Yarrowia lipolytica: one gene and its partner. The main gene of each other region encodes a partner of the protein of the gene in region 2 in a complex. Links are inferred from orthologs where the notes say so. Each region holds a gene or a part of one and is shown on either strand. Other genes may lie near its edges. The genes, in order: YALI1_B12427g and YALI1_F28943g.

Region 1 (3,339 bases), on a different chromosome or scaffold from region 2:
GGGCCGGCCCGACTGGAGACGCCGTGGGAACCGGGTTTGTGGCTGTGGTCGGACCCAGTGGATCCAAGAGCATGACTTTTTCGACAGGCAGTAACGACCGAGCTCAGAACATGGAGGAGTTTGCGTTCCGAGCGCTGCAGTTTTTGCTCGACCAATTGAAGTAGCAACCAGACGAGTGGAGGGTGTGTTAGCCATGGGAGTGTATAGCACGACTGTGGCTATTCCGAACGCCGAGGCCGTATTGCTACGAGAGCTACCCACTGTGAGTTACATCCTGTCACTATCTACAATGGCACCATTGATGTGATAGACATTAATACGATTTATGACTTGTACTGTACTCGGCACGGCTATCAGTAGGTCCCCATTCGACCCTGTGGTGTTCTTGTAAAACCGCACACTATTCTGGTGCAATTCTTGTGATTGTAGTTGGTGAAATACTTCACACACAACACCAACTGCGATAAATGTATATTAACATGATACAGTGCAATAAATAACTTTTCCCTTAGAAGGGATCTTCATAAGGATCTTCTTCGTCGTAATCATCGTCCTTTTCGTACTGGTAAACAATGGCTCCTCCTTGGACTCCTCCATCTCCGTACTTTTGACTCTCCAGAAACGGCAGTTCCACCTTATCCTTGGCCTGCTGGTTTCGAGTGGAAGTTGTCAGGTTAAACGTGGTCAGATCCTTGAGCAGATCTGCCTCGTTTTCTTGCTGCTGCGCCTTGTTAGGGGCAATGGCTACTGCATGAGACGAGTTGTCTACAGTGTATGTAGCAATGACCGAGCGTCCCGATTTGCGTCTGTAATCCAGCTGCACCTCAAATTTCGGCGAATTGCAGCCCATAGGGATGTCCCAGGCCGAAATCCGGTTACTGTGTTGTTCCAAAACATGAGGCATGACGTCTGGTCTGCTCAGAGGACCAACAGTAAGAATACTGGTGGCAAAGTAGTTGAGAAGCGACAGAGTCGAGGGGTAACAGGAGCTCGAAGAGTCACTTTTCGACCGGATATCGCCGTGGTAGACGCAAACGACTGTTGTATGCTTGCTGATCAAACTGAAGAGCAGCTGGAACAGCTCTTGTTCTGGAATGAAAGCCAGGGTGTCGAAGATGATGAGAGTCTGGGACGTCCCCGTCAGCTGGACAATCTTTTGCTTGAGCTCGGCGACCTTTTCGTGTCCCGAAATCTCGTGGTTGACCCGTTTATCAACCGTCAATGTCTCGTAGTTGACGTACAGAACATTGGTTGATTCAGGTGCGTGGTGGAGGAATTCGCTGATCAAGCGAGATGCTGACTGTTCCACGCTATCAATAATCACCGTGAACGCCGAGCTGTCCTTCAACGCGAGAATCCGGGGCAGGAGTAGCGAAGGGTGCATTTTTGGTGAGAATACACTTTCAAAAAAAAACGGTCTTGATATGCATGGTGCAACTTTATCGTGGTGTATAGTGGTGGTCAAAGATGGAACGGAGAAGGTAAAGGTAGTGGATTGGTTAGTGTTTCATAAGTTCAAGGGGGTTAGAATTTTGATCCAAGTGAATTGATGTAATTAATTCTTCCATACCTTGAGTATATACTCATATTGACTCGATAGCCCAGTTCTTTAAATTACTTGAAATTAGTTGAACTCTTAAGATTATAGTTAAAGTAAAGCTAAGTAAAAGGAGTCAATATTATAATAGCTAGAATGCGCTACAGAAGAGGTATTTGAAATCCGAGAGCTCTGAAACGGTCCCCAATGTCACTAAATATATCATTCATGTTACACAATATCTTGTCAGAGTCTAGTAGTCACAGTCTAGTCTTGCATCTTCTCAGACTCCAAGGCGAAATCATAACCTTACCTGTAGAAGCCAGTCATCACGGACATTGTTATACCATTGAATCACATTCCTGGTTCGGACAGCTAATACAAGGGACTTCAAAAATGAGTCCATTTGCGAATGCTCCAGGCTCATTAAGTATAATGTCTATTACTTCACTGCGTAATTTACATAGAGGCATTCCTGTCCTCTTACATATCCGAGGGATAGTAGAAGAAGGCAATGGCGGCAATAAAGTAGGTGCCGAGCAACATGACTCCCTCAAGCCAGTTGGACTCTCCGTCCTGCAGCAGGTAGTTGCAGACAAAGACTCCGACGAAGAGGACGGCAGTCTCAAAGGTGGAGAAGTACAGAGACATGGGCTGGTCGATGATCCAGCCGAGAATGACCAGGAAGGGGGTGAGGAAAAGGGCAATCTGCAGAGAGGAGCCGATAGCCACTCCGATAGCCAGATCCATCTTATCCTTGATAGCCACAACCACGGCAGTCACGTGCTCGGCGGCGTTACCGACAATGGGCAGCAGAATCAGACCGATGAAGGTCTTGGAGAGTCCGGAAGAAGCCACAATGTCGTCGATGGACTCGACGAGGTAGTCGGCGCAGAAAGAGACCATTACGGTGATGACAACCAGGGCAAAGATTGACTCCCAGGGAGTCAGGGTGGAGCCCTCGTGCTCGTCCTCTCCCTCGGTAGCGTCAACGGCCTCGCTCTCAGCGTCCTCAAACAGACCGCTGTGGGATCCGAGCTGAAAGTAGAGGAAAAGAGTGTAGATGGAGAGAATGACGATGGAGGTTCCTCGAGACACAGCTAGGGTGGGGTCGACAACCGAAGGGTCGGTATCCTCTCCGGGCTTTCCAGAGTTGGGCAGAGAGGCGTGGAAGGCAGCGGGGATAAGCAGCGAGGTGACTCCGAGGGCGAGAAGAGAGGACATGGTCTGGGCCACGGTCATGTTGAACTTCTGCTGGACTCGTCCCCATCCTCCGGCAACGAAGCAGCATCCCAGCACCAGCAGCATGTTGGACAGAATGGATCCAAGCATGGAGGCCTGGACAATTCGGATCTGGCCCTGGTAGAGGGCGATCACGGATACAATGAGCTCGACGGCGTTTCCAAAGGTGGCATTGAGCAGACCTCCGAGAGTCTGGCCGACCTTGGCAGACAGCTCTTCAGTAGCAAACGACAGCAGGGCGGCAAGGGGGACAATGGCGAGGAAGTTGAGAGAGAAGGTCCAGGTGGCGCCCCATCCGAGAATTCCGGAGAGCAGGCCGAGGGGCACGAAAATCAGCAGAATATTGACATATGACGAGCCCAGCACGATGCGCACCTTTTGCACGTAGGTGTGGTCCGAGGGCTGGAGCCGTCGGCCAATGAGAGGGGTGGATTCGGAAGGCATTGCGATGAAAACTGGCGCGGAGTTTGGTTCAAAGGCAAAAAAAAGAGGCCAAAAAACGGTTCGTTCAGTTGTCGTCGAGGTTTGAAATCCAATCGCAGATAATATCACAAATAAAA
Region 2 (3,841 bases):
ATGTACTGTATGTGTGGGTACAGTATGTACGGTGTTTACAAGTAGCTAAGAGGGAGGGTAAGGCGTTGAGGCGACGATAGTCGAAGTGTCGTACTTGTTCGTACATTATAGCCCGTTCCTGGGAAAACCATTCTTGGAAACGAACAACACCGAGACAACGTACGCAGAACGAGACGGGCGATAAGCTCCCATCCTGGGGCTCTACAATAGTCAGGACTCTATTCACTGGATCTAAATTGTAACTGTCCTACAAGTATCGTAACTGTCCTTGCAAGTTTTGACACTGTCTCGACCGGGACAGTATCTACAGTAACGACTAAAGAGTGCAAGGAGTGACGCAACGTGCAAGGGTCAGTTTTTTAAATATAGAGAAACTGGTTGTGTTTGAAGGATATGCGTTTGGCCTGTATAGCACTACCCTGTTCCTTGAAATGCTGAAGTGCCTTGAAAGATGCTCCTCAAACACCCCTCACTTGGGCTCAATTCAAGTTTGAATAAACTGGCCCATTTTAGTCTGACTCTCAAGGAAGCTAGGCTATCATTATTGTCGAATATTGCCATATTCCATCTGCTTAAAAGGCTAAGGCATCCTCCTTCTTCTCTCCGTCATCCTCCTCAACAGGGATACTCCACTCGTCAATCTCAAAAGTCCGTTTCGTCACTCGGAAGGCATACTCGCTCTGAGTAACAAGCATGTGACCTCTGTCAGACAGGCATGGCAGCTTAGAAACATTCACCAGGCCCTGGAACTCTCGCTCCTGCACTTTGACGTCAAAAGGGAAGAAATCAAGCACGCAGTCAGCCAGAAGTTCCATCCATCGAGTCAAAGGAGACGATTTGGGGTACAGAACCAGAGGCAGAGACACGATAATGACAAGATGTCTCTTGTACTCTCTAGTGAGGGCCCTGAGCTGTGTGAAAAGGCCAATAACGTAATCTGAATCAGCCATCTGCTTATCATAAATAGCAGGATGAAGGAAGGTGGGAATGCATACTCGCAGAATCGAGTTCTCGGAAGCCGCGGCGGATGCGAGCTTTTTGATTTCGGGAACAATCGACTTATCTGGTTTCAAGTATCTAATCTTTGAGATCTCTGGACCACCCAGTCTCTTAGTTAGATCGAAAGTGGCTGTGTTGTTCTCTGCAAGCTGCTCTTTTCGCTCCACCTCACTGTTATAGCCGTATCTCCAGGCAATCTTCATTGCTCCAGAGCCAGCCTTGGAGCTGGGATCACGGGACCTGCTCTTCTTGTCGCTCTCTCCTGGCAATTGTCGTCCCCATGCATCATTAGCTCCTACCACCGCCACCTCAGACCCGCCATTCCTTCGATCAATGCACCCCTGTGCTGCAAACATTCTTATCAGAATGCTGGCATAATCTGTAGTCGATTCTTCCTCTAGCAGAGTCAGAGTACCGGTAGGAATGCCGTTATGACCGACGAGTTTGTCGAAATCGAAGCATCCAGACGACACGGTCGGCGTACTGGACTGCAAAAGTGAAGGTTTTGTGTTTGGGACGGGTTGAACAGCGTGTGTCACACCAGAGGTCCCCCGGGCATCTGTGGAACCTGTAAAGGGAGCCCTGGGGCTTCTACCTTGGACGCTTGGGTGAGACGAATTGGCTGGAGGACCTCTGAGAGGATGGGGATTACCGGAGTTGCGATCTACGGCCGCCCGGTTCGGAACAGCAACGTTTTTCTTCTGAAAAGACATGATTGTGTCAAGCTAGAGTCTGTGTTGCGGAGGGCGTGTACAAGTTGTAACGAAAAAGGTGCATCGAGAGGCATGCATGCTGGAAGCTTATTTCCTATAATGGAGGTTGGACATGGACATGGACATGTGTGTGATATTCCGGATATTGAGTGTGTCGAATCATAATGGGAATTTTGAACCTAGTTTTTTCTTGTTTGTATTTATATCTCGAAATTAATTTCTTTTGGCTTGAGTTGAAAGTGCCGTGTTTCGCGATTCCCACCTCTTTCAATGGTCACAGGATAAAATCATTGGTATTATTCGATTTGTCTCGTCCAGGGCTTTCATTTGGTAAGCTGTTTGGTGGTATTCTATATATATTTGTGTTAGATTTCCTGCTATGGCCTTCATCATGCTCAATGCACGTCACCCATCTTCGATACAGACCCATCCACATGACTTGTAGTTTGGGTGCAGTACCACGTCTTCCATAAAATCAATATCATTTTCGTCTATATGTACATTTTGATTACTGCTTGGCCTGCTTGGTCTTCAGCTCGTTTTCCAGGGAAGTGATTGTGTCTGTGTTAGTTTGATCTGACTGGATGTGATGTGGTCATTGAAGGAGATGGGGAATCAAATCAACACAAAATGCGCCAGTCCCTTCAATAAATACTTACGGGCATAAGATCTTCGTCGCTCGTCGGTCTCCAGACGCCACCAGATGAAATGCATGGTTGTGTAGATGGCGGAGGCGAGGAAGAAGGTGGAGGTGAGAGGTTTGGAAAACTGGCCAAGAGTGGGCTTTTCTGTCGAGTATCGTCGGAAGCCGATGTGTTGCTTAAGGCCAAATGTTCGTTGAACAGCAGGTCGGATCATGGTGTGTAGAGTGTTGTGTGGTGTTGGACGCTCTGGATTGGAGCTGATGGATTTCGTGATGGTGGTTGAACTTTATTTAGCGAAGTTATGTATACTGGTAGGTGGATTTGGAAGGTCTAAAATGTAACAATTTGGAATAATTGGAGAGTCATGGAAAATAATGAAGACTCTTCGTCGCCATGCATCGGTTTTAAATTTTATTATGGGAAAACTGATGTTTATATGTGGAGCTATAACCAGCGTTGTAGATGTGCAATTTGTTGAACATTCCAAGTAACTAAGGATATCCCAATTAGGTATATACTTGTACTTTAATTATTTTTGGGAGCGTCATTTGTCGAACATACTCTCTGCTTCATACACGACATTACATGCTATTTACTCATCAACTACAGTTCAACATAACCAACCAAAAATACACAATAAAATACCCTTACACAAACATCAATCAACCTACTCTGAAGGGTCTCTTCTCTTGATCTTGAACCCCTTGTACATGCCGTCAGTGAGCAACCACCATCCTGAACCAATGAGAACGATGCACACAACAGCAGTGATGATACCCGCACCGGCTCGGTCACCAGGTCCAATAGTTAGTGGCGCAGCAATGGTGTTGGCATAAGGAGACTCAAATACAGTGCCGGCCGATCCGTTACCCTTGGAGTCTCCTCCAGTGATATCAGCCAGTGGACCTTCCGAGCTCATGATTTGGGTGTTGAGAATAGCACCCAGAACTGAGAGTTGTTCTCCCAGACCGATGTATTGGTCGTCGTACTTGCCTGTCAGCCAGTCCAAAGAGCAGGTGTGGCCATCTCGTCCACCAGAACAGGTTCTAGCTCCTGCCATGGCACTAGGAACAAGATACTTCATGATCTCAGGGGCCAAATCAGGCACTAGCTGAGCAGTCTGACCGAGAAGACTCGAATAGATGCCCTTGAAGGTTCTCTGATCGGCATCACAGGTAATTGTAGCCTGTTGACAGGCGATTTCACGCATAATGTTGCCTTCAGGACCCCCAAAGAAGTGCAGAGGAGAGACGGCAGTGTTGAAAATACCTCTGACTCGTTGCCCCCACTTTTCCGAACCTGTTCCATTTCTCAGGAGCGTTCCGTTGTACAAGGCAGCGGCTCCGTGCATGAAGATTCCAGAGTTGTAGGTCCAAATGTACGGAGTTCGGTTGGTACAGTTGGGCACGTTACCGGAACCTGTCTCGATACCATCGTACACCTCGTATTGTTTTGTCACGAGATCCACAGCCTCGGCCCAGTTCC

Evidence for each region.
Region 1: the proteins of YALI1_F28943g (region 2) and YALI1_B12427g are in contact, whole or in part, in a crystal structure (PDB 4A8J), measured with the Saccharomyces cerevisiae proteins. The link is inferred for Yarrowia lipolytica from reciprocal best matches to the Saccharomyces cerevisiae genes ELP4 and IKI1. Residues at the interface, in NP_015224.1 of Saccharomyces cerevisiae: Thr115, Thr116, His293, Pro294, Pro299, Phe302, Glu303, Ser304, Ser332, Ile335, Thr337, Leu340, Gln359, Thr362, Glu363, Glu366; in NP_012057.3 of Saccharomyces cerevisiae: Ala2, Ser3, Ser4, Glu115, Thr118, Asn151, Asn152, Asn153, Tyr154, Pro155, Thr159, Leu160, Phe163, Lys209, Ser212, Gly213, Arg214, Ser215, Leu216, Glu217, Tyr218.

Annotation. Positions count from the first base shown.
Region 1 is NC_090771.1:1,240,798-1,244,136, reverse strand, and holds YALI1_B12427g (uncharacterized protein), read right to left. Parts: upstream 1,385-3,339; coding exon 509-1,384; downstream 1-508. Other genes in the region: YALI1_B12443g (uncharacterized protein), read left to right, coding at 1-164; YALI1_B12409g (uncharacterized protein), read right to left, coding at 2,021-3,223. UniProt on the Saccharomyces cerevisiae protein: Component of the elongator complex which is required for multiple tRNA modifications, including mcm5U (5-methoxycarbonylmethyl uridine), mcm5s2U (5-methoxycarbonylmethyl-2-thiouridine), and ncm5U (5-carbamoylmethyl uridine).
Region 2 is NC_090775.1:2,892,199-2,896,039, reverse strand, and holds YALI1_F28943g (uncharacterized protein), read right to left. Parts: upstream 1,713-3,841; coding exon 573-1,712; downstream 1-572. Other genes in the region: YALI1_F28934g (uncharacterized protein), read right to left, coding at 2,221-2,273, 2,372-2,570; YALI1_F28915g (uncharacterized protein), read right to left, coding at 3,024-3,841. UniProt on the Saccharomyces cerevisiae protein: Component of the elongator complex, a multiprotein complex which is required for multiple tRNA modifications, including mcm5U (5-methoxycarbonylmethyl uridine), mcm5s2U (5-methoxycarbonylmethyl-2-thiouridine), and ncm5U (5-carbamoylmethyl uridine).